Macaca mulatta: one gene and its partners. The protein of the gene in region 2 purifies or fractionates together with the protein of the main gene of each other region. This does not show direct contact. Links are inferred from orthologs where the notes say so. Each region holds a gene or a part of one and is shown on either strand. Other genes may lie near its edges.

What was found.
Region 1: the proteins of STX6 (region 2) and SNAP29 purify together in Homo sapiens (co-immunoprecipitation; 3 studies listed by BioGRID and IntAct, counting the BioPlex papers as one, with this or other methods). This does not show direct contact. The link is inferred for Macaca mulatta from reciprocal best matches to the Homo sapiens genes STX6 and SNAP29.
Region 3: the proteins of STX6 (region 2) and SNAP23 purify together in Homo sapiens (affinity purification with mass spectrometry; 3 studies listed by BioGRID and IntAct, with this or other methods). This does not show direct contact. The link is inferred for Macaca mulatta from reciprocal best matches to the Homo sapiens genes STX6 and SNAP23.
Region 4: the proteins of STX6 (region 2) and VAMP8 purify together in Homo sapiens (affinity purification with mass spectrometry; 3 studies listed by BioGRID and IntAct, counting the BioPlex papers as one, with this or other methods). This does not show direct contact. The link is inferred for Macaca mulatta from reciprocal best matches to the Homo sapiens genes STX6 and VAMP8.
Region 5: the proteins of STX6 (region 2) and VTI1A purify together in Homo sapiens (affinity purification with mass spectrometry; 3 studies listed by BioGRID and IntAct, counting the BioPlex papers as one, with this or other methods). This does not show direct contact. The link is inferred for Macaca mulatta from reciprocal best matches to the Homo sapiens genes STX6 and VTI1A.
Region 6: the proteins of STX6 (region 2) and VAMP3 purify together in Homo sapiens (affinity purification with mass spectrometry; 5 studies listed by BioGRID and IntAct, counting the BioPlex papers as one, with this or other methods). This does not show direct contact. The link is inferred for Macaca mulatta from reciprocal best matches to the Homo sapiens genes STX6 and VAMP3.
Region 7: the proteins of STX6 (region 2) and NSF purify together in Homo sapiens (affinity purification with mass spectrometry; 3 studies listed by BioGRID and IntAct, with this or other methods). This does not show direct contact. The link is inferred for Macaca mulatta from reciprocal best matches to the Homo sapiens genes STX6 and NSF.

The regions. Positions count from the first base shown.
Region 1 is NC_133415.1:31,700,218-31,703,717, reverse strand, and holds part of SNAP29 (synaptosomal-associated protein 29), read right to left. Parts: intron 785-3,500; coding exon 588-784; intron 1-587. UniProt on the Homo sapiens protein: SNAREs, soluble N-ethylmaleimide-sensitive factor-attachment protein receptors, are essential proteins for fusion of cellular membranes.
Region 2 is NC_133406.1:38,431,628-38,435,606, forward strand, and holds the start of STX6 (syntaxin-6), read right to left. Parts: upstream 2,801-3,979; 5' UTR 2,655-2,800; coding exon 2,620-2,654; intron 1-2,619. UniProt on the Homo sapiens protein: SNARE promoting movement of transport vesicles to target membranes. Targets endosomes to the trans-Golgi network, and may therefore function in retrograde trafficking.
Region 3 is NC_133412.1:19,935,759-19,939,258, reverse strand, and holds the end of SNAP23 (synaptosomal-associated protein 23), read right to left. Parts: intron 3,137-3,500; coding exon 2,992-3,136; intron 1,079-2,991; coding exon 1,013-1,078; 3' UTR 338-1,012; downstream 1-337. UniProt on the Homo sapiens protein: Essential component of the high affinity receptor for the general membrane fusion machinery and an important regulator of transport vesicle docking and fusion.
Region 4 is NC_133418.1:38,814,537-38,818,531, forward strand, and holds the start of VAMP8 (vesicle-associated membrane protein 8), read right to left. Parts: upstream 2,801-3,995; 5' UTR 2,785-2,800; coding exon 2,782-2,784; intron 1,421-2,781; coding exon 1,262-1,420; intron 1-1,261. UniProt on the Homo sapiens protein: SNAREs, soluble N-ethylmaleimide-sensitive factor-attachment protein receptors, are essential proteins for fusion of cellular membranes.
Region 5 is NC_133414.1:124,588,283-124,592,304, reverse strand, and holds the start of VTI1A (vesicle transport through interaction with t-SNAREs homolog 1A), read right to left. Parts: upstream 2,801-4,022; 5' UTR 2,642-2,800; coding exon 2,548-2,641; intron 1-2,547. UniProt on the Homo sapiens protein: V-SNARE that mediates vesicle transport pathways through interactions with t-SNAREs on the target membrane. These interactions are proposed to mediate aspects of the specificity of vesicle trafficking and to promote fusion of the lipid bilayers.
Region 6 is NC_133406.1:233,015,685-233,019,184, forward strand, and holds part of VAMP3 (vesicle-associated membrane protein 3), read right to left. Parts: intron 868-3,500; coding exon 709-867; intron 1-708. UniProt on the Homo sapiens protein: SNARE involved in vesicular transport from the late endosomes to the trans-Golgi network.
Region 7 is NC_133421.1:70,345,682-70,348,877, forward strand, and holds part of NSF (vesicle-fusing ATPase), read right to left. Parts: intron 3,173-3,196; coding exon 3,059-3,172; intron 1-3,058.

The DNA of each region.
Region 1 (3,500 bases), on a different chromosome or scaffold from region 2:
GGACCTCCCTCTGTAGCTCAGGTTGGAGTGCAGCAGCACCATTACAGCTCACTGCAGCCTTGACCTCCAGGCCTCATGCGATCCTCTTACCTCAGCCTCCTGAGGAGCTGCGACTACAGGTGTGCACCACAATGCTTGGGTAATTTTTGTAAAGACTGGGGTACCACTATGTTGCCCGGGCTGGTCTTGAACTTCTGGACTTAAGCAATCCACTCACCTTGGCATCCCAAAGTTTCGGGATTACAGATGTGAGCCACTGCACCCAGCCCTAAAGACTTTTTAAAGGAAAAATTATGTGAAGTGAGTCACATTTGTACTGATTACGCTGAGGCGAACACCCTCTCTTTCAAAGTAGTGGGGTCACAACTATCGGAGAAGCAGTTGACAGATTACATGTCAATCAAGTGAACATGGGAACACGGAAGAACAGTTTCTGGCTTCACAATGTTTGAGGACAAATATCCTGATGAGTAACTTAAAGGGTTGCTGGATCCCTTCATGACACTGACGTGGACTGAAAGCATTGGTCATTTGCACTAATCCCCACTTCTGCTCCTTTATACCCAGATGGTAGAAGACACACTCACCTGCTGTTGGGCTGGGAGGCGAGGGTGCCATTCTGTTCAGGTGGGGCCTCTGCTGGTTTGGATTTGAAGTAATTGACGAGCCCCCCAAACACGCTCTTAATGCTATTGATGTGTTTCTGGCTGATCTTCAAATCTTGGTCCATCTTGTCCACCATCTTCTCTGTGCGCTCCAGGACTCCTCGCTGACGGACAAGCTCCTGGGGAAACCAAGAGGCGGTGGTATTATAGCTTTCTGTGACTCTCCCCTAGGCCAGTCAAGGACCACATGGAGCAGCCACTTCATAAACTCTCAGTGGGCACATCTGGAGACGGGTACTATCATCTGTGAGGGGCACACTACCCTTTCCAACAACACGTTCCTTTGCCTCTCCCTCCCTGCCCTACCTCTGCTTGCTTTCCTCATTTGTTCATGAGACCCTTTTCCTGAGAGGCTGGTTCACGGCACCATGTTAAGATGGATAGCAGAGGCCTGGCGCAGTGGCTCACGCCCATAATCCCAGCACTTTGGGAGGCCGAGGTGGGCAGATCACGAGGTCAGGAGTTCAAGACCAGCCTGGCCAACATGGTGAAACCCCTGTCTACTAAAAATACAAAAAGTAGCCAGCTGTGGTGGTGGGTGCCTGTAATCCCAGCCACTCGGGAGGCTGAGGCAGGAGAATCACTTCAACCTGGGAGGCGGAGGTTGCAGTGAGCTGAGATTGTACCACGGCACTCCAGCCTGGGCAACAGAGCAAGACCCCATCTCGATGCTGGGGGCAGCGGGTAAGATGGATGGCAATGTGCCTGTGAGGTTCAGAGTCCAGGGCCTGAACTGGAAGCAGATTCTCTCTAGCCCACCAATTCTGGGAACCCTCACAGACTGGGGCCTGGCACTGCCCCCTGGACTTTGGTTCTTATATTCTTCCTTTATGAAGTTCCCACTTTAGGAGGTCCCAGTGGGCCACCTGAGCCTCCTGGCCATGGTCAAATCCTCGAATTCTATTTCAGGGACCAGTGTCCCTTCTGGTCCTATTAATGTCTGACTCTAGTTCATCCGCAATTCCAGCTTTAAAACCTGTTAACATGTGTGACCCTGTCCCAGGGCCTTTGCACACACCACTGTCTCTGCCTGTAATGTTTTCCATCCGGATACTTATATGGCTCAGCCTCTCATCCCTCATCCAATTAGGGTCTCCTCTCAAAGGCCACTCTCTGAGAGAGGCCTTCCCAGACATCTTCCCTAAAGGAGAACTCCTTCCAACCACCAACCCTCTTCTCCACATCCTTTTCTGTTTTATTTTGAGATGGAGTCTTGCTCTGTCATCCAGGCTGGAGTGCAGTGGCATGATATTAGCTCACTGCAACCTCTGCCTCCTGTGTTCAGGTGATTCTCCTGCCTCAGTCTCCAGAGTAGTTGGGATTCCAGGCGCCTGCCACCACGCATAGCTAGTTTTTTGTATTTTTGGTAGAGACAGGGTTTTACCATGTTGGCCCGGTGGTCTCGAACTCCTGACATCAGGTGATTCACCTGCCTCGGCCTCCCAAAGTGCTGGGATTACAGGTATGAGCCACTGCACCCAGCCTCTCTTTTCTTCACAGCATATGAGCTCCAGGAGGCAGGGACTTGCTCTGTTCACAGATGAGTCTCTGCAAATCTGTCCAGTGGAGACGTGAGTGATGCTCTCTGGCCACAGTGGCAGCCTGATGGTCCCTCCAGAGCTAAAGGTTCTGGTTGTGGATATACATCCACCACAACAGGAACACTACCACTTTCCTTTATTTATGACAAACTTGCTTCAGTCCCTGCTTCAGAACTGATCTACGGCTGCGGCCCATCTGTTGAGCTGCCTTTCCAGCCAGAAGGCTCTCAAGCTTCTTTTTCCTGCTCTCAGGCAGCCTCTGCCCTCAGCTGCCTTCCTCTGAATCTGTTATCCACGCATCACCCTGTGGCTTAGCAATTACACTAACTATGCAAATACTTTTTTTTTTTTTTTTGAGACCGAGTGTTGCTCTGTCGCCTAGGTTGGAGTGCAGTGGCGCAACCTCGGCTCACTGAAAGCTCCGCCTCCTGGGTTCACACCATTCTCCTGCCTCAGCCTCTCGAATAGCTGGGACTACAGGTGCCCGCCAACACGCCCAGCTAATTTTTTGTATTTCTTTTTAGTAGACATGGGGTTTCACTGTGTTGGCTAGGATGGTCTCGATCTCCTGACCTTGTGATCTGCCCGCCTCGGCCTCCCAAAGTGCTGGGATTACAGGCGTGAGTCACCGCGCCCGGCCGCAAGTGTTTTTTAGATATATTCTCTCTTGATGCCTAAAAACAAAGTTAAAAAAAAAAAAAAAAAAGCTTTAATCGCTGAAGAGTAAAATGCAACTGTAATCAGAAAAGCAAAATGCAACTATAAATAAATGGTTGTGGCTTCCTTAAAGTCCTTAAGGAATCAATGTGTAACCTAAGTCCTTGTTTAATGGGTGAAATTTAAAAACATAATGTATACGCAAAAAGCTAAAACACTGGTTGAATTTACTATTAAACTTTAACTCTTGCTGGAAATAAACTTAGAACTGCTGAATTTTACAGCTTTCAACATTTACATTTTTCGCCAGTTCACAAGACATGTCTGAAAAAACCATCAGCCTTTTTTAACTAAAAAGAAAAATGTTTTCTGGACTGTGTCAGTCAGTATGTCAAGCAAATCTTGCAAGGGCTAGTTTTCAAAAGAAAAAAGAGCTGCTAACATATCTGGTGTTTCTGCTTCTTCCATTACCTCAAGTTTATCATCTTCATGTCCATACTGTGGTCTTTTCTGGAATAAGGCAGAGCTACACATTAGGATTAAAGAGATTTTCTCCAGCATCTACACGTTTTTCTAACAGTCCAGTTCCAGCTAGCTTTGCAGGCTGCTGAAGACAGAATAATCTGTAGCTGAAAGA
Region 2 (3,979 bases):
AAATTACCCAGGAAATACAAAAATTAGCAGGGAAATACAAAAATTAGCCAGGTGAGGTGGCACCCACCTGTAGTCCCAGCTACTCAGGAGGCTGAGGCGCAAGAATCGCTTGAACCTGGGAGGCAGAGGTTGCAGTGAGCCGAGATTGCACCACTGCACTCCAGTCTGAGCAACAGAACGAGACTCTTGTCTCAAAAAAAAAAAAAGAAAGAAAAAAAAGAGTATTTAATGAATTTTAAATACAGATAAATTATTTCTGATGAAAATTTAATGTCCAAATTTAAATGTGCAGTAAGTGTAAAATATGTATTAGATTTAGAAGACTTAGTGCAAAAGTAAAATATCTCATCAATCTTTGTATTAATCACACGTCGAATATTTTGAATGTACTAGAGATTACATTAGAATTAATTTCACCTGTTCCTTTTTATTTTACTGTGGCTACTAGAAAATGTAAAATGACGTACGTGGCTGGCATTATACTTCTATTGGACAGCACTGATCCAATAGATCCCAGGACAGCTGAAAGAGGAAATGAGACCAGAAGCAGGAAGAACAATTAAAAGACTCTTTGATAAGCATCCAGATAAGAGAGACAGGCTTGATTATCTAAATTCTGCCCATCTTCAAAACGTAATTCAAGATATACTTATTGCCTCCAAAAGCTTTCCTAATCCTAACAATTCCCAAGGAGATGCCTTTCTCTGAACTCCTGGGGCACTCATCATCTGCAGCATTCACTTCAACACTCATTCATTTGCCACCTGTCATTTCTACTTAATTTTGGGGTAATTTGTTTCTCAGATTAGACTAGAAGCTCCTAGGCCATAATTTAGGCATCTTTAATTTTTCCATGCTGTGTAATGCATTCTTGATACTTTTAATAAACACAGGTGCATGACTCCCAAAAAATCTGGATACACCTTCATGGGTGACTTTACCTTTCCACAGTAGAAGGTACTGAGAATCTCTTTTCCTTCAAGAACCTTAAAGACAGGAGCTAAAATGATGTAAAAGTCAATCAAAACTCCGAACCAATGTTCCAATAAAGTAGTGATATTTAATCAGTGAACAAGCATTAGACGACTGTATTGGATACCGTCAAGAAAAAAAAAATGCCACAACGGCAGAAGAATTTAGGCTTTTGACAAATTCCATAAAAAGTCAAACAAAAAATTTCTGATCATCTCTGATCTCCACTGCCAGAGATAACCTTTGCCAACCTAAGCATTAAGAACTTTCAATCAAGGAAAAAACACATTTTTAAAATTAACCCCTAATCAATTCTTCTAATAAATATCACATTTTCCAGGTAGGGAGTCACATATTACCAGTAAATCTACAACTCAGCATTTTCCCATCTAAATTAGAGTAAGGTGAAGAAAAAGACCTTTCCAGGGAAATGTTAAGAAATATTATAAGTGTATTTTACTGCATCATCGATAAAATCTTTCACCTAAAATGCCATTTAAATTTTCTACAATACTTGAGTATACAACAGCCAGCTTGTACCACTACAAAAATAGGAAGCTAGCAGCAACTCGTTAAAAGCAAGGGACATTCTGTGATCAGTACTGATTTGGGAACTTTGCAGTTTTCAGATTTTTCATGTTTGACATTTAAAACAGAAAACTGACACGTTTCTAATAAGAAACTAAAAGTTACATCAGAATTAATCTTCTTGCATTTGTTTAATGGCTACAAAGTGGATATTACAAAGTGCAGTTGAAGTTTCTATCTCCAAAGAAACAATCGAGCAAGATGGAGTTAGGACAGCTTACAAGGGAACAGAAGGCAGTTCTATTCTGAAAGGCAGAAGAAATAGGAGAAACCTGTCAAACAGCCTGGATGATATCAAGGAGTTAACAAGCAACACTCATTTCCTTTAGCACTGTGAGAAAATTCCGGTTGCTAATAGAAAGCTGAGGAAAGTTTGGTTTGGCTTGTTTCATTTTGTTTTCCTTCCAAATCATCACTGAGTATGAACGACTGCTTTCCTCTCCTCACATTACTCAGTAAAAACTCCCCCCATTGAATTGTCTTCCTGTGCCCTGCTCCCCAGCCTCCCAGATCGGCCCCCGCCCCCGCCTCCCTCCCAGCAAACGTGCTCAGACGCCTCTGGGCTTGTTGTGGTCTCGCCAGTCCTGCGGACGAGCGCTCCAAACTCAATGGACAATGGAGTTCACCCCCGTCAACACGAACTACAAAGCTCAGGAGGGCCATTTCCCTTTTCCTGCCCAGATGCTGTTTTCGCTCCTTCGAAGCAAGGTCCCATGCTCGAATAGACGGCCAGTGTGAGCTAGGACCTGCGTGTCTCCTTCTCACCTGCAGAGCTGCTGAGCCCCTCGACCCCCAAATAAGTTGTACCGCAGCGCACAGGCCAAAAAGGCCCCACCACCACCAGGGGCTTGGCTGGGGACAGTGGCTTCACCGTCCAGGTAGGGATGCAGGAGACGTCTCTGGACGCTTGGTCATGGCCCTCAAGACTAAGCCGTCTCCACTGTGACCCCTCCCCAGCTCCAACTTGCCTCCCCTCCCCCTACTGCGAGAAGACCGAGGAGGTGCGGGCAGGCAGCACCGCCACCTCTTCCTCCAGTGGAGCCCTCGGCCGACACTCACCCTTTCACCACAAAGAAGGGGTCCTCCATGGACATGGCGTCCCGGCCCCGGCCGCCTCCACCTCCACCGCGCACAGAGCGCCCGTGCCTCCCGGCCTCCTTCCGCCCACCCGGCCTGTTCCCGCAGCCGCCCGCGCCTTAGACTGGGGGACGCCAAGCAGCGGGCACGCGCGCAGGCCAGGTGCACGGGACCACCGCTGGTCCAGCACTCGCTCAGCACCACTGGCCGAATCCCGGACTCCAGAGCCGGCCCCCTCTGCAGCCTCCAGTCCCGGCTCCCCCCGGCGAGTCAGAGAGCCTGACCCCACCCCCAGGACCCTCGGCTGCGGCCAATCACGAAAGCCGCCTGAAGCACGACTTCCGTACCCCACTCACGTGATCAGGGCCTGCCCCTCCCCCAGTGGGCGGGGCCTGGGCCTGCGTCCCTCCGCCCTGGAGGCGGAGCCCTCGGGGCGGAGGAGGTGGGTGGCTTTCTACCGCCCTCTCCTCAGGCTTGAAGGTGAAGAGCGGCTTGTTCCCTCAGAGGTAGGCAGTCGGCTTTTCAGGATAAACTGTAGTTGTACCTGTTTTGCAAAATCCTCTTACCTTTCCTCTACTTTTAATACTTGATTTTGACAGTATGTAATTTATAAATCTATCTGGTCCTCGACTTAAAATGAAGCATAGTATCTGATTATGATGCTACACAGCTCCTTCAAGTAGGGTCTTACTTTGTGTTGGAGAGTGTGCTAAAAAGTTGTGTATGCATCATCTCAGTATTCTTTGGGGGAAGGTATTATTCCCCTCCTTCCCCTTTTTGGGGGGCAGGGACTCTCTCTGTCACCCAGGCTGGAGTGCAGTGGCACAATCACAGCTCACTGCACCCTCGACCTCCTGGGCTCAAGCGGTCCTCTCGCCTCAGCCTCCCGAGTAGCTGGGACTACAGGTGAGAGCCACCACGCCCGGCTGATTTTTAAATTTTTTGTAGAGATAGAGCTCTCAGTATATTGCCTAGGCTGGCCTCGAACACCTGAGCTCACAAGACCCTCCTGCCTCTGCCTCCCAAAGTGGTGGGATTACGGACGTGAGCCCCTACGCCATCCATTTCTCCCATTTTGTAGATGAGAAAATAAGTTCAGAGAGGCTTCACGACTTCCTGTAGTCACACAGCCTGGACAGAGCAGAACTGCAGATTCTGTGCACTTTCCACCAGATGGGGTGTACTTTATGTTGCTGTACATTCTGCAAATAACCATGTAAAGTAATTTTTCATACAGCATATGGTGCCTCCCAGGAGAGCGCACCTACAAGGAATAAAGAAGGGGCCAGGTATGACAACTTCCTCTCACTGTGGTTCAAGGACTATTCTAGAAAACATTTTG
Region 3 (3,500 bases), on a different chromosome or scaffold from region 2:
GTTCCTGAATGGTGCAATAAGAAATGGGATCACAGATTTATGTACATATATGAATCACTAAGAGTTCAGAAATTAAGCTCACTTTAAGAAAACTTGGCCAGGCACGGTGGCTCACACCTGTAATCCCAGTACTTTGGGAGGTCAAGGTGGGTGGATCACGAGGTCAGGAGTTCAAGCCCAGCCTGACGTGGTGAAACCCTGTCTCTACTAAAAATACAAAAATTAGCTGAGCATGGTGGCATGCGCCTGTAATCCCAGCTACTCAGGAGGCTGAGGCAGGAGAATCACTTGAATCGAGCAGGCTGAGGTTGCAGTGAGCCCAGATCGCGCCACTGCACTCCAGCCTGGGTGACAGAGCAAGACTCTGACTCAGGAAAAAAAAAAAAAAAGAAAGAAAGAAAACTCATTCTATTTTTCTCTTTGGAGCAGAGGTTGCAAAACTGTGATGCTTAACAAAAATTTTGTGTATAAAAGCTCCAAAATCAAGCATTAGCCTAAATTGGCTATAACCGCAACTTAAATCAAAAACTATATTTAACTATATCTTCGCTGTGGCTATGCAACTTTTTGTTTTGTGGCCTGAAGGTTTTTACTGAGGTAACAACCTCTTATCTCTTGTCCCTCCCTCTACCACAAAAGCAAAAATAAACAACAACAACAAAGAACACCTCTACAGCTTCCTTCTTCATGGCTGTCTTTGGCAATGCTTCCAAAACTTGAAAGCAAAAGAACCTGCTAAAGTATATGAGGAGGATGAAAACATTATACATCACATATGAAAACCAATCTAAGAGTATGAATTGAAAAAGAAAATACTAGAAGGAAGGCCGAGCAGCGGTTGGCCCTCAATAGAAAACAAAAGAGAAGGAGGGCTGTGACTGCTCTGGCCCTTCTTCCATATTATCTCCCAATTAGAAGAGCGTGGAACCGAAAATTTAAACTCTGAAAAGGTAATAACTTTCAAGGAGGAGCTACGGAAGTGAATAAATGATAAAGAAGAACAGCAGTAGCTTTAGCTGTCAATGAGTTTCTTTGCTCTGGCATTGGCAATATCAATACGATCTTTGTTGGTGTCAGCCTGAAAAACAAGAAAGATATCAGCTTTATTTTACAAGGTAAGTAACTCTAATAAAAATTAAACATTTTACATTTGGAGTAACTGACACAGTGAGAAAATCCAAGAAACCACGTGAGGTTACATTACAAAACTCATGTTGGGCAAGAAGTAACAGAACATGAAATTCATTTGGAAAAACCCTGGTATATAAACATGACAAAGGTGTAACATATAAGACCTTGTCAATATTTCATCAATTCTATAACACATTTTTTCATGGTTTAACACGCCTAAAACTGGGATGCATCCTGTAATCAATGGCATTTTTTGATGTGATGAAATATGAAAGAGTGCTCTTCTGTGTTAAAGATTGGACCTTGTGTGAGTCCTCTGAACTGAATCACAGAATCTCATCTGGATTCAGACACCCTAAGTCTAACCTGGAGAGACTGAAATAACCTTTCCAAAGATCTTTGGAACGAATCTATAACCATCCACACCAACATCTGAATTAAAATGACAGGTAAATGTAGCCTAAACCCAGACTGCAGCATTTAAAGCATCTTGTGAACCACTGTTTCAATTAAATCCATCAAAAGTGATTTAACAGAGAGCCAAGCTTAAAAACTCACCCTAAACTTTAAAGTTCACTGAGATTTCAGTGAGGTATGACTTTTTTTTCTTTCTTTTTGAGACAGGGTCTCACTCTGTTGCCCAGGCTGGAATGCAATGGTGCAATCACAGCTCACTGCAGCCTTCAACTCCTACACTCAAGCAATCCTTCTCCTCAGCCTCCAGAGTAACTGGGACAATAGGCACATGCCACCATGCCTAGTCAATTTTTAAATGTTTTTAGTACAGTCTAGGTCTTGCTCTGGTCTTAAACTCCTGAGCTCAAGCAATCCTCCTGCCTTGGCCTCTCAAAGTGTTGAGATTACAGGTGTGAAGCTACTACAGCTGGTCAAGGTATGACTTTTACATGTGACACATCGAAACACCAAAAACAATTTCACTTTCACGGTATCATGTAAAGTTAAGGGGGAAAGAAAAAAGAACCACAACTTTCTTTCACTCACATGACTCTATTTCGTGTGACCACTCTATACGAACTATTCTGCAGAACGGATTTTCTTTCATGAGATAAGGATTCAGGAACTTAATTTATTTTTAGTTAACAAAATAGGCTGATGTGGGAGGAAAGCTTTAGCTTTAGCCTGGGAGGTAGGCTGCAGTGGGCTGTGATTGTACCACTGCACTACCCTAGGTGACAGAGCAAGACCTCATTCTCAATTAAAAAATTAGTTAACAAAATAAAACTTACTCATTTGGGAGAGAAAAAAACACACTCAAAGGCTAAAGTAGATACTAAGCTTCATGTGTGAAGGTTTAAGTAAAACTACTACATTCCAAAACTCTGGTTTCAAAAGGCACCAACTGCCATGAGGGGGAGGACTTGGCTCTTGTTTTATGTGTTAGAACCACCACCTCGCCAGGCGTGTTGGCTCACGCCTGTAATCCCAGCACTTTGGGAGGCAGAGGCAGGCAGATCATGAGGTCAACAGATTGAGACCATCCTGGCCAACATGATGAAACCCCGTCTTTACTAAAAATACAAAAATTAGCTGGGCGTGGTAGCGTGTGCCTGTAGTCCCAGGGACTCGGGAGGCGGAGGCAGCAGAATTGCTTGAACCCGGGAGACGGAGGTTGCAGTGAGCTGAGATTGTGCCACTGCACTCCAGCCTGGCAACAGAGTGAGACTCCATCTCAAAAACAAACAAACAAACAAACAAAAAAAACCACCACCTCATCAGAACTAAGACCTATGAGTCCAGGAGCTTCTTCTACCATGTCCCCCACAGCATCTAGCACAGATGTCTATTACGGAAACACTGAACTGGGTGTCTCATTTTCTTGTGGCAATAAAAAGCTTTTACCTTGTCTGTGATTCGTTTTATTTGCGGATTTTGAGCATCAATCTCATTGCCTATGTTCAGGGCCATGTCTTTTAGATTTCCCAGGATACTACCCACTTGAGTCAGGTTCTCTTCCATTTCATCTTCTCTGGCATCATTAGTTATGCTATTACAAGAAGAGAGTTAATTCCATAGATTTTTCTGAATTTAAATGGAGTAAATCTGGATTTAATTTTCATAAAAGTATAACCAAAATGACGCTTAGCAAGTATAAGATCCAAAGGAATATAGGTTACCATTCTTGGGAAACATTCTATAATAAAAACTGGAAGACTCATCAAAGAGAGCACAGTGTCTTAAAGCCATGTAAGAAAAGAACGAAACAACTCTAAAACAGCGTTTCTCAAAGCGTAATTCCCAGCATCACCTGGGAAGCTGTTAGACGTGGGAACATGCTAATTCTCACACTCCACTCCAGACCTACTAAATCAGAAACTGTAAGTGCATCCCAGAAACCTATGGTTTCATAA
Region 4 (3,995 bases), on a different chromosome or scaffold from region 2:
CAGGCTCCAGGTGGGCACATCTCCCAGCTACAGGACTCCTTGCCCCATCGGGACTGCTGAGGCTGGAGGAGGGACCAGGACAGTACAGAGGGTTGGAAGTAAGGGAACTCCTCCTCCTCCATGCACTCTTCCCCATGCCCAGCAATTCGAGTTATAGACACTAAATTTCCTAGTGCTTGTCCAGGCATGGTGACTCAAGTCTGTAATCCCAGCACTTTGAGAGGCCAAGGTGGGTGGATCACCTGAGGTCAGGAGTTCGAGACCAGCCTGGCCAACATGGCAAAACTTCGTCTCTACTGAAAATACAAAAATTAGCCAGGTGTGGTGGTGCACACTGTAATCCCAGCTACTCAGGAGGCTGAGGCAAGAGAATCATTTGAACCCAGGAGGCGAAGGTTGAAGTGAGCCGAGATTGCACCACTCTAGCCTGGGCAACAGAGTGAGGCTCTATTAAAAAAAAAAAAAAAATTCCCGGGGCCATGCTCCCCAAATTAAGCTACAATTAAGCTACAGAAACAGGCAATGAGCCCCAGGGAGACAAGGGAGCAATACCCAAGAGCCAAGAGTTCACACAGGACTAAGAAAGCCAGAGCCAGCTTCCCAGCTGGACACAAAACCTGAGGCTCCAGACTTTGCTCAACTTTGGAGTTACTTCCTCCCTGAAACAGCTGGCCGCAGCCCCTGGCTGGAGAGAGAGAAGAATGAAGTCTAGCAAGATGTGTGGGAGATATTATTTTAGCCTTCATCTAGCAGGGGACCCTGGGATCAAAGCATTTCTCTGCTCTTTCCTCCTTCTTTTTAAAGCCAACTCAGCAAGATGCCAGCAATTTCCCACCCCTTGTCTAATAGCTCCTAGAGAAGGCTAGAGGCCACGGTGGGGGGGTTTCCTCAAAGCCAATACTTCTGCCCTGGGAAGGTCAGATCCAAATGATTGTCATGGGCAGGCTTCAAAGGGAAAACAAGTTTCCCGGGAGAGAAGCCTGAGAATGCATGGGCTGACTGAGCTATCAGTCTCAGAATATGCCTCTATGGGTGAGCTGCCACCTCAAGCCCCAGTCATGGGATCCATTCCCTGGGATCCATAACAATCTGTGGAGCAGAGCAGATTCAGAAGTGGAGACTCAGCTCACATCAGCTCCCAAACCAGGTGAAAGGCAACAGAAATGTTACACTTCTGACCCTCCTGTTCATTTTGCCCCACCAAAAAGAAATTCCCTCCCTTCCTCTTTTCCTCCAGCCTCCAGTGGGCTCCCTGTCTCACTGTGGCTTCCAGATCCTCTGTCTTGTTGCGGAGATGTTCCAAGTTTTCCCCTCGGGCCAGGATCCGCTCCACATTCTGGGTCATAATATTCTTAACTCCCTCCACCTCACTCTGCAGGTTCCGCACGCGATCATTTCCTCCACCTTCACTGGCTTCCTCCTGCACAGCAACACGGGGTTAATTAGACCAAGTGGTGGGGGAACTGGAGACTTGGCCTCAGAGGCCTGGGGAGGGTAAGGCCTCAGGCAGACTTCAGCTTTTTGTAAAATGCTTGAAATGTTTACAAAGAGAATGTTTTCATGTATTACTTGTGTAATCAAAAATAAATGCATTTGTAAGCCTCAGAAGGTAAGACGTGATGCTAAAGAGACTAGATCAAACTTCTTTCGGGATTGTTAGGACCCCTGACAAGGAAAAGCAGCGCATCACTAAATCCCTCCCCGCTGCTTCCTTGCTCCCTAGAGAAGGCCGTAGAATACAGCAGAGCCAGCATCTCACAATGTTCCCTTTCCAGGGCAGAGCCCACCACTATTTACAATTCCCGGAGCCACCCCCCTTTCCTGATTTCTCGGGATCCTCATTGAAAGTGTCTGTGCTGGCCAGCAAAACACCCTCACCCAGCCTCACCCATCTGCCCCTCTAAATACCTGCTGGAGCATGGCCCTGGCCGCAATGCCATTGCTGCTGTGACCCAGAACAACAGGCAACCAAGTACCCCAGAAGGCGCCCACAGCCGTTGAGCCACACACTTCTGCTTTCCCTACCACTGGGCACCACGCGCAGGCACCAAGCAACCACCTGCTTATGCAGACATTAAATAAAAATACCCGCCTGGGTGTTGGGGGAAATGGAGGACTAGTCCTCCCTGGCTGATGTCTCATCTCAGAGGCTTCATGACAAGGTTTTTGAACAAGGAGAGAAAAATATTATTAAGCTCCTCCCTCCTTGACCTCCAAAAACAGGCCAGTGGCATGGGTCAGAACTAGCTTATCACAGAGAACCAACTTCTGGTTATCTTATAAACCCTTAGTTCTCTTCTTCATGTTAATGGAGAAAGGACACCCAAAGGACTCAGTGGACACACAAATCCTTTGTGTTTCTGTGTAGGGATAAAGTGAAAGGCCAGAGAGGAGAGCTCCTGCCGCTGGGCTGGAATCTGAACTGGAAACTGCCCAGGCACTGCCTGGTGGTGTCACAACACCCGCCTCGGGCTCCCTGGAGGAGGAAGGCACAACAACACTTTGCCTGGAATTCGGAGCCCCCATTGGCACTGGCACGGAAGCCCAGCTCCCCACCAGCACAGAGGTCAGGGGAGGGAGGAAGAAGGAATAGAAACACCTGCTAGGACGGTTCAGAGCTATTTGCAGCCAAGTTGTCAAAGAGGAGAGGCCACAGGCAGCACTGGCCCAGCCCTCTAACTTTGCCGCCAACTCTCCTCCCCCCACACAGCCAACCCCCAGTCCCGAGCCCCTTCTGGCTCCTCTTTAAATCAGCCCTTTCCTAGTTTCCAGTTCGCTCACCATGTCTCAGAGCAGCCCAGGCCGATCAGCAGGTGAATTCGCCTAGTCGGCTTCCTCCCAGGGTGGCCGTCAGCTCACTTCCTGCTTGCTCCAGCTTTCAGCCTGCCCCCGCCCACCTCGCATCTCGAGTCGCTCCAGCCACACCTAACTCAGGTTTCCCCAGGTAGGCGGGCACTCTTCACTGTCCACCCAGTGGCTTCCCAAACAAGAGCTTAAGCTTAGAGTAATAGGGCTCTCAGATGTTAAAGGTCTTCTAACTTTTCAGGAATTAGAAAAGAAAGATCAAGCAGCCCTCCAAGGTTTCCTGAGGCTGGACCTCCTGATCTAAAAAGGGCAGCCATCTCTCTCTCTCTCTTTTTTTTTTTTTTTTAAATAGAGATGAGGTCTCACCATGTTGCCCAGGCTGGTCTCAAACTCCTGGGCTCAGACAATCCTTCCACCTCAACCTCCCAAAGTCCTAGGAGCCATGACGCCCCACCAGCCATCTCCTTTTAATGTCTTGAATATCTGACTCCAGTTTCTAGAGACAGAGATCAACCATGCCAGGCCTGGCTCACAGGGAAACAAAATGCAGTTATGAAAATTTCTTGCTGGATAACACTTGTTCTCAGGTCCCTCAGTGACAGAAAGCACTAAAACCCCTGAAGTCTGGAATACTGTGATCCTGGGCTCTGATTCAGAAAGCTCTGGGTTACTAGTTACAGGCCCCTGAGTGAACCTTTTCACCTCTGTGGAGTTTGCAGGTGCTGATGCTTAGCTCAGACAGTGCTGGTAAGAAGCAAAAAGAGGCTGGGCATGGTAGCTCACGCCTGTAATCCCAGTACTTTGGGAGGCCAAGGCAGGCAGATCACTTGAGGTCAGGAGTTCGAGACCAGCCTGGCCAACATGGCAAAACCCCGTCTCTACTAAAAATACAAAATAATTAGCCAGGCATGGTGGCAGGTGCCTGTAATCCCAGCTACTCAGGAGGCTGAGGCGGGAGAATCGCTTGAACCTGGGAGACAGAGATTGCAGTGAGCTAAGACTATGCCATTGCACTCCAGCCTGGGCAACAAGAGCAAGACTCTGTCTCAAAAAAAAAAAAAAAGATAGCGTGTGCAGTGCACTGCCACTAGCACAGTGTCTGTAATGAGGGCTCACCAAACCCCTCCTTCCCTTCCAGAGTTCAGCAATTCTGCATTTCCCTTCAGGGACCACCACAGAGGTAATTGATC
Region 5 (4,022 bases), on a different chromosome or scaffold from region 2:
AGGTTGCAATGAGCTGAGATTGCACCATTACACTCCAGCCTGGGCGACAGAGCAAGACCCTGTCTCATAAAGAAAAAAAAAATAAAAGAATTATGATTATTCAATAATACAAGTCAGTAAGCATTTTTCCAGAGCCAGCAATGCAGTCTCCTTTCAATTGTAACGTAGCTCCTGTGTTTGGGCCTTACATAATACTACAGCTAAGGAGAGGCACAGTTTTTTTTTAATTTATTTATTTGTTGAGATGGAGTTTCGCTCTTGTCACTCAGGCTGGAGTGCAATGATGCAATCTCGGCTCATCGCAACCTCTGCCTCCCGGGTTCAAGCGATCCTCCTGCTTCAGCCTCCTGAGCAGCTGGAATTACAGGCACGCGCCAACACACCGGGCTAGTTTTGTATTTTTAGTAGAGACAGGGTTTCTCCATGTTGGTCAGGCTGGTCTCGAACTCCCGACCTCAAGTGATCTGCCCGCCTCGGCCTCCCAAAGTTTTGGGATTATAGGCATGAGCCACCCGCGCCCCACCCACAGTTTTATTTTTAAGGTACTGAATTCAAACAGTTTCCTTCTATGTGTTAAGAATTGTTACATTAAAATATAAAGGTAAGAAAAAAATTGTGACACGATCTGTTTTCTTGGAAATAGTTTTTACAACTTTGCATGCGAGGATGATTTTGTTACCTTGTAAAACAGCTTCCCAATACAAAAGCTAATAACCCAAAGAAATGTTTCTACTGCTAAAACAATTACAATTAAAAATGAGTAAAACTCTAACTGGAACCACAAGTCCTGATACTCTGAGGCTCTGGGACTCAATTCAAAGGAAGTGGTCTCCAACAATAACAAAAATCAAGATGATCTCTGGCAGTGGAGAAAAGCAGAACTGAAGAGAAGAGGCGAGGTGATGTATCATGAAGAGGTGAGGCCATCAGCCACTTTCGACACAAAAATCTCTGAGGCAGCAGAGCTTGGTGGTATATACTACCTTGGTTCTCTCCTCTTGTTCCCTTACTTGGACTCATAAACCTCTTTAAGACATCATCCATCTCCTCCAGAACTAACTGGGGACTTCAGGAGATGAGTGGGTTGTAAGTTCAGAGATCCTGGCTTCAAGCAAATATCCGTATTAACAGAAAATAGGTGAGGGGAAGAAAAACAAAGAAATAAGGGGAAAAAATTACTTATAAACATGTAAGTTTTGGGGGAAGTAGGGAAAGGGAAAGAGGAATGACAACTTAGGTCCGGGAGAAATTACTGCTAGTACCAGGACAACTGGGCAAGTGAAGTGCCCACCAATCCGAAGATTAATGAGCGCATCCCCCTTTCTACACTTTACATCCTGGAGCTAGGGTAAGGACAAGCCTAGCAGCCAGATGATGGTTCAGTTTCCCTAACAAAACTAAACAAAAATGTAAAATCCTTTTCTGTGATTAACTACTCAAATCTGTAGAGAAAGATAATCCCCGAAACAACATTTTCCAAACCAAAGTTACAAAAGATCATATTTATATTCACCTGCTCATTCACTTATTTTTCTGAGCCCCTAATAAGTAAGCACCAAGCAAATCAGACCCAGCTCCCACCTTCACAAAGGTGACAGTCTAGCATAGAAAATCAGATGTGCTAAAACACAAAAGCAAACCCCAAAACAAAAACACTTCCAGATGGGAGATGTGAAATTTTTTAAGTGTGAAAAACTATCTTGTACCAACTTTGACATAAAACTGCGTTATATAATAAATCCCCAAGAAGGATGAGAAACAAGAAATGGGGATGGGGAGATATGAAAAATACTAATGCTAATACAGCAACTAACAACACCAAAGGGGCTTTAAATATGTTTTTTAAATTTAATCTACCTAACAACCCCATGACAGAAGTACAATTTCCCCCCATTTACTAAGAAGAAAAGTTGAAAGAGACTAAGCAGTCTGCTTAAGAGGCACAACTTTTATTTTATTATTTTATTTTATTTATTTATTTGAGACGGAGTTTCACTCTTGTTGCCCAGGCTGGAGTGCAATGGCGAGATCTCGGCTCACTGCAACCTCTGCCTCCCCAGTTAAGAGGCACAACTTTTAAGTGACAGAGGTGGGATTTGAATCTAGGCACCCTGATTCCTACCTCTATTTTGCCACATATAATTATAACAATATTATTACTAACACAACAACGCCGCTGTAGATTGTAGATCCATCAACTACGTACTTTCATTCATTTTCTTTTAATACTCACATCTCTAATTAACAAACGAAAACATTAAGACTCTTAAGACGTTAAGAAACGTTTCCAGGTTATACAAGTTCCAAGGGAGTGAAGTCGGGATTCGAACTCAGATGGCTCAGATTCCGAAGGCTCTTTTCACTGCACCCCACACCCGAACTTGACTCTTTACCCTCAACCAAGGCAAGCCCTACCCCTCCGGGAAACAGCCAGCACCACCCACTCCAGCCTCGCGCCTCACAGACACACTTGTTCGGGCGGCGTTCCACCGCCCGCACCCTCCCCGCGCTCCCCAGCACCCTCGCCCAGTCGGGCAGAGCTCTCACCAGGCGGGAGTCGTGGGACCCTCGCAATCTTGCTAGTGATCTCTGCAGTGAGCACCGCGAAGTCCTGCTCGTAACCTTCGAAGTCGGACGACATGACGGCTCCGGAACGAGTGGCCCAGGCCAAAGCCTAGGTCAGGGAAACGGCCTCGAGGGGCAGCGAGGGGCGCCGCGGCTTAGGAACCCCGGGAGGTGCCCCCGAGAGCAGAACGGAGAACCGGGAACAGCTCTCAACCCAGTCGCTTCCTGGTTGTTCGTCGCGATCTCGGTTCTCCGGAAATTGGGTTGCGTGCGTGCTTTATTTTCCGCTCCGTCTTTAAGATAATTAAGTTCGCTAAGGAAAAGCGCCCCAATTAGTGGCCCCCCAAAAAAGCGTATGAAAATATGCAGGTTCTGAGGGATCATTAGGAGAGTTTTTTTTCCCCTTCGTGTTCTGGGAATCGGCTCCGGATCCCCAAGCTACAGGTCACAGGAACTTGCTTCCGGAGGGAAGTTTGAGGCGGCGAACCCCCGGAAGTGACTGTAACGGAGACTGCGCAGGGGTCCTGAGCGGGAGAGTCGCGACGAGGGCGCTGGTCGAGAGGCATTTGGCTTGTAGCAGGTCCCGCACTCCAACCTTTCGCGGCCAGGGTTTGCTCTCTGCTTGTCCTGGACTGAGGTGCCCATGACGGAGTTATCCAAGGAGGAAGAAATCTGTTCCGGGTGAGCCCAGGCCGCCCCGGATATGCGATGGCTGAAGAGCGGACACCAGGGACCACACTGAGGTGGGAGTCAAGGCAGGGAATATAAGCAGGATTTTGGTGGTCTTTGCCCCCCCAGAGTAGGAGCCGGCCCTCCTGAATGTTGAGACCGACCTGGCTTACTAGGATATTTTTTCCTTGGGTGAGGATTTATTTCTAAGCCCTGTGCTCGATGACTCGGGCGGGAAACTGAGGCACAAGTCAACAGCGTCTGCTCTGTGGTAGTCTGTATTATCTATGTAGCTCAGATCTTCTTCCAGATCTTCGGATCCTGTCCAGGCAGAGATGCCCTTTCACAAATCTCCCCCGAGTTCGCCGTCCTGCCTTCCGTTTCCCTCGCTCCAGGAGGCACTTCCTCTTCTTTCTTCCCTGGAATCTTCTAATTCAGGTTCTTCTCCTGTATTCTTCTGGTCATAATTTCACACACATCACACACACTCTCGCTGTCTCTCTTCCTTTCCTGGCGTGCTCTCTTTGCTTTCACTCTCGCTCCTTTACTTTTGGGCCAGATTGACTGTTCTCTTGATGTTTGGGTGGCGGGATAGAGGGGAGACTGCAGGCAAATGGCATAGACCATGTCTGATTCACACTTGGCTTAATTCAAGACTTTAGAATTTCATAAAGGGAGTTCATTGACTTGCCTTCTATTCTGGTTCACCCGTTTGTGACCTTGGTCTAATCACTCAGCCTCTCTCAGCCAATTTCTATTCTGTGAAGAATTCGGAAACCGAATTAGAT
Region 6 (3,500 bases), about 190 Mb from region 2:
CAGGTGCTTACAGTCTGGAAGAATTCATAATTTCTAAAGCCTAAATTAAATGTTCTCAATTAGGGCCTGAAGGTAACTTCCCTGCTTTTTAAAAGATGTTCAAATGATGTGTGGCCTCTAGCTAGGCATTTGTGTGTGTATACAAGTTTTCCACATATGGAAAGGCTGCTCAGCTTGCCCTGTGTCTCAAAGTGTCACTTGTAAACAAGGCAGAGGACAGGATACATCTGGATCTGGTCGCAGCACGCTGACTCACTGACTGTATAAAATCTGCTTTGGCTTGTGCTCCTGGGCGGGCTGCTTTCTACTCTTCTGTTGGGCACACTGTGGCTTTCTAGCATTTCTTTCCCTTGACCTTGGAACCATTCACAGAACTACACGAAAACTAACCAATTCCAGCCCTCTCCTATGTGTTTGGGGCCCTGCTGGGGTAGAGGGTTGGGAGGGGCTGATGACTGTGAGTGATTTTGGATATTCTTGTTCTACGTGCATCTTCTGAAGATCAGCCACAACACATAGAGGATTCCCAGGGTGAGGCTAGGAAAGGGTATGTAGTCAGTGTTTCAGATTCACAGTGGACCCACATTTCCATGTGGAGGAAATCAAACCCACCTCCCAGAGTCATGAAAGTCCATTATCTGTAGCCTGTTAATTCTCTGAGAATGGAGAAGGGGGCTTAAATGTAAAGGTGAGTTAAAAGATAATTACCTTGCAATTCTTCCACCAATATTTCCTCTTCAACTTGGCTGCACTCGTTTCAAATTGAGAAGCGCCTGCCTGCAGTGCATCTGCACGGTCGTCTAACTCAGAGAGCTTCTGGTCTCTTTCCAGAACCTTGTCCACATTAACTCGCATTATGTCCACCACCTAGATGAGTGTGATCACAACAAGTAATGCACAAAGAATGGAGGAATAGGGCCACGTGTGGTGGCTCACGCCTGTAATCCCAGCACTCTGGGAGGCCGAGACGGGTGGATCACCTGTGGTCAGGAGTTCGAGACCAACCTGGCCAACACGGCGAAACCCTGTCTCAGTACTAAGAGTATAAGAAAATTAGCCGGGCGTGGTGCTGGGTGCTTGTAATCCCAACTATTCAGGAGGCTGAGGCAGGAGACTCACTTGAACCCAGAGGGCGGAGGTTGCAGTGGGTGAGATTGCGCCATTGCACTTCGACCTGGGCGACAGAGTGAGACTCCGTCCCAAAAAAAATAGAGGCACAGAGACTTCAAAGACAATCTATGGGCACATTGTTCTTTCAGGTCAGCACTTTATTACTTTGAGCCAAACTTTCGCTTTAAAAAAAATGAGCTCACTCTTTCATCATCAAAACAATCAGCATATTAAGGATAGAAGGGAATTTCTTTAATATGATAAAGGGCATTTATGGGAAAATCCACAACTAATATCATGCTCAATGGTGAAAGACTTCCCCCCTAAGATCAGGAACGAGACAACGATGCTCACTTTCACACTGCCACTCAATACTGTACTGGAAGCTCTGAACAGAACAATTAGTCAAGAGAAAGAAAAGGCATCCAAATTGGAAAAAAAGAATAAACCTATCTGTATTTGCAGATGATTCTCTTTATATAAAAAATACCAAAGAATCCACAACAAACTGCTAGAGCTAACAAATACAGCAAAGTTGCAGGGTACAACAACACATAGCAATCAGTTGTGTTTCTATACACCAGCAACAAATAATCTGAGGTGGAAATTAAGGAAACAATTGTGTTTACAATAGCATCCAACAGAATAAAATACCTAGGAATAAATTTAACCAAAAGGCGAATGACTTGGACAATGAAAACTAGAAAACATTTATGGCCAATTGATTTTTGACAAGAGTGCGAAGGCCATCCAACAGTTTTTTCAATAAACAGTGCCGGGCCAACTGAAGAGCCAACATGCAAAAGAATGAAGTTGAATCCCTACCTCACCCTATATACAAAAAGTAACTCAAAAGGGATCAATAATCTAAGTGTAAGAGCTAAAGCCATAAAACTCTTAGAAGAAAACATAAGGGTAAATCTTCATTACTTTGGATTTGACTGTGGATTCTTAGATTTGATACTGAAATCAAGAACAACAAAAGGAAAAACAGATACACTGGACTTCATAAAAATTAAAAACTTTTGTGCATCAAAGAACATTATCAGGCCAGGTGCGGTGGCTCATGCCTATATTCCCAGCACTTTGGGAGCCCCAAGCAGGTGGATCACCTGAAGTCAGGAGTTCGAGACCAGCCTGACCAACATGGTGAACCACTGTCTCTACTAAAAATACAAAAAATTAGCTGGGCAAGGCGGTGGGTGCCTGTAATTCCAGCTACTCTGGGGGCTGAGGCAGGAGAATCACTTGAACCCGGGGCTTGGAGGCTGCACTGAGCTGAGACTGCACCACTGCACTCCAGCCTGGGTGACAGAGCAAGACTCTTGTCTCAAAAAAAAAAAAAGATAAAAATTAAAAAAGAACATTTTGAAGAACGTAAAAGACAAGCCACAGAATGGGAGAAAGTATTTGCAAATCACATGTCTACTAAAGAAAGATTTAATATCTAGAACACATAAAAAACTCTCACAACTCAAAAACAACCCAATTAAAAAATGGGCAAAGCCTGAACAGACATTTCTTTAAAGACATATAAATGGCCAATAAGCACATGAAAAGATGCTTACCATCACTAATCATTAGAGAAAGGCAAATGAAAACCCAAAGAGCTCAGTAGGATGGTTATAATCAAAATGGAAAACAAGTGTTGGCAAGGATGTGGAGAAACAGGAACTCTTGGACATTGCTGGTGGGAAAATAAAATGGTGTGGCTATTGTAGAAAACAATTTGGCAGTTCCTCGTAAAATTAAACATACAGTTACTATGACCTAGCAATGCTACTCCTAGGTATATATTCAAGATCAATGAAAGCATATGTCTAAACAAAATCTTTCCTGTGAATGTTTATAACAGCATTATTCATAATTGCTGAAAGATGTAAACAACTCAAAGACTCATTAACAAATGAATGGCTCAACACATTGTGTATACACATACAATGGAATATTACTCAACCATAAAAAGGAACATGGTACAACGCGTTACAACTTAAATGAATGCGAAAAACTTTGTGCTAAGTGAAAGAAGGCAGATGCCAAAGGCCACATACTGTATGATTCCTTTTATATGACATATCCAGAACAGGCAAATCCACAGAAAGAGAGAGCTGATTAGAGGTAACAAGGAAATGGGAGGAAGGGGAAATAGTGAATGATTACTAAATGGGTATGAAGTGTTCTAGGGTGATGAAAAAGTTTTGAAAATGGAAAGAGGTAACAGTTGCAAAATATTACGAATATACTAAATAACACTCAATTATATACACTTTAAAATGTTTAGTTGTATGTTATGGTAATTTCACCTCAATAAAAAACAACCCTCCTTAAAATTCCTTTGGTTAAAAAAAATTCCAATTTGATTTTGTAAGTCAACAGAAATTTCAGGCAGG
Region 7 (3,196 bases), on a different chromosome or scaffold from region 2:
TCTAGATGAATCTGGGTCTCCTGTCATGAGTCTAAGAAAAAATGGTGCAACTTTTGTTTCAGGTGCTTGGTTCAGGTGGTTATTACTAACTATCTAGACTGGTTTTCATTTTCTATTCATATTTATACTAACTTGCTAAATATACTTTATTCTCGTAGGCCCACAGGAGATACGAAGTTATCTAGAAAACAATCATTAAAAACATCTTTAATTCCTGAAGATGAATTTTTATTGTAAGAAACACACGTAACTTTTAAAATATGTTTCAGAGCAGGAGTCTGTTTCCCAAGAGGGAACTCCCTGCCCTCCAGGAGTAACTTTCAAATGCTCAGTGCAGCTGTGGGTAGATGTGCAATCGGACCCCCCTCCAACCACGGAGTTTTTTCCTTTTTTTTTTTTTTTAAGATTTCTTCTATCTCAGAAAAACACTGAACAGAAGTTTCAAATGTATCAAAGGTAAGAGGTCAGACTACAAAGGACTAAGAAAAAGTGTGAACAGCTAACAAAAGAAACATTTTTCCTCTTTGGGAATAGAATTACATATGAATCAATTGTCAAGTTCTTAAAAAAAAAAAAAAGAGGAACTGGCTGAAGCATAGTTGTAGTTGGTACTTGCAGTTCTTTGCCCATTAAATATATTTAATATATGTGAGCAACAACTTACTGACTTGCCTGTAGCTATGGAATTAAAAGTCAGGAGAAAGGGAGGAAAAAAGTAATCTAGATAAATGACTTTATTCCCTCAGGTGACATCCAGTCAGAGCAGATCCTCAGCTCTGTGCAAGTTTTAACAGAATCGCGTGTAGTGAACAGAGAGGTAACATGACTTATATTCTGCAAAACTACATGCCTCTTCACTTAGGCTCAGCCTCTCTAAGGCAGATCTAAAGAGAATTCACTCAGCTGCACGAAATCCATTTGACATGAAGGGGTTCAAACTCAGAGGCCTATGAAATGTCAGTCGCTGCAGATTAGGCCTGAGTGCCCCACTCTCACTCTCTACCCCACATGCATAAGAAGCATTAACTCGATCACTGACCTGCAGGCATCAAAGGAAGGGAAAGGGATGAGGGTTGGGGAAAAAAATCCACATAGTTTCTTCTATGCAATTATTGAAAAAAAAAATTAAACTGAAACTTAAAAAAAAAAAAAAGAGCTGACAATCTGACAGATTTATCTTTTTTTCAAGGAAAGAGCCAATACACCTGTATTTGCACCTTTACCAAGAATAAGTCTAAACAAAGTGGTTAGTCTGTAACTTTAATTTATGGCTCATAGTGGAAAATAAATTAATTGACTTAAAAATAGTCCATCTGAAAGCTTAGATTAAATTAGATTTCTGAAAGCCACAAAAATTTTATTTTCAGATAAATTTACCAGAAAAGATTAAAAAGCATTCACTTCATGTTTCCAATGTGTTATTGGTCCAAGAGCCTATTTCAGATGTAACTGAAACAGAAACTTCACCTCTGCCACTCACTGCCCATACTAGCAGAATGGCAGGACCATCAGTAAGTAACACATGATGCCTAGAATACAATCACTCTGTCCACCTAGGACCAGAATGAATTTATAGTTATTCATCCAACAAAAGTTTACTGGCCGGGTGCAGTGGCTCACGCCTGTGATCCCAGCACTTTGGGAAGCCGAGGTGGGCAGATCACCTGAGGTCAGGAGATCAAGACCAGCTTGGCCAACATGGTGAAACCCCATCTCTACTAAAAATACAAAAAATTAGCCGGGCGTGATGGATGGGCGCCTGTAATCCCTGCTACTCAGGAGGCTGAGGCAGGAGAATCCCTTGAACCTGGGAGGTGGAAGTTGCAGTGAGCCGAGATCATGCCACTGCACTCAAGCCTGGGCAACAGAATGAGACTGTCTCAAAAGAAAAAAAAAAAAGAAGTTACTGAGGGCCAGGCATGGTGGTGCATGCCTGTAATCCCAGCACTCTGGGAGGCTGAGGCAGATAGATCACTTGAGCTCAGGAGTTCAAGACCAGCATGGGCAACATAGTGAACCACGTCTCTACAAAAAATACAAAAATTAGTTGAGTACGGTAGCACATGCTGGTAGTCCCAGCTTGGGAGGCTGAGATAGGAGGATCGCTTGAGCCTGGGAGGTCAAAACTGCAGTAAGCCGTGATCATGGCACTGCATTCCAGCCTGGGAGACAGAGCGAGACACTGTCTTAGAAGAATAATAATAATAATAATAATAATAATAATAGTAATAAAAGTTTACTAAGCACCCTCCTATGTGTTAGCTCTGTTCCAGGGACTTTGGACTCAACAGTAAGAGCCAAGGTCTCTGAATTCATAGGGCTTGATAGGGAGATATTTATCAGCTAACTAGTATGTCAGATAAGGACAAGAAGACACAGGATGGGAATATGGAAGGGTGGAGTTCTAAAAAGAGGAAAGGTAAGTTGCCAGGAGATATGAGAAAGTCCCAAAGAAGTTTCATCTGTCTTTGCGCAGGCAGCAGCCTGGGGCTTAGTTTTCTTCATGATTCTGGATGCTTCAACTCTACAGTAGTTTGCATGAAATTTCTAGGAGCCCAGCCAGGGACAAATATACAGATCCCAGGTCTAGACTGCACCACTTAATTAACTTGTCCCTTAAAACAGTCTCCCAGACACCATTTGGTATATGTGCGGTCGCCTACTGACTTGAGGTGCAACACCATCCCTTCTCCATCAATAACCTGGCGAAGTGATCTTGGATAATTCACTGACAGCCTGTGGCACACACAGTATCCTCATCTCCAAAATGAGGGGGCAGCAGAACAATTGCTCTTTGAAGTCTTTTCTAGTTCTAAGATCTAGTGGCTCCCTAAATTAAAACTAACTTTATAATCTTTCCTTCCATTTTTGAATTTTAAGAAGTTGAAAAGTATTGGTAAGTGGTCAATCTCAGAAGCAGGCTACCAAATTAAGTTTGGAAATAATATAAGAAAATCAAAACTTTAATTAAAACCCTTGGCAAAGGAAATACTGAACCCTCTTGGTGTGTCCTGAAGCTTTGTTCTGTCTGAGTCATGTGGAGAAGGAAGTCCCTTACCTGTAGGGACATCTCGATCAACATGAGTAACTTCTTGATTCCTATCCAGACCTTCTTCCCTTTGACTTGCTGAGAAATTGTGGTGCGTTCCTTATCCTTGAAGTTGCCCAAAAGCTACAAAAACAATAAACAATAATC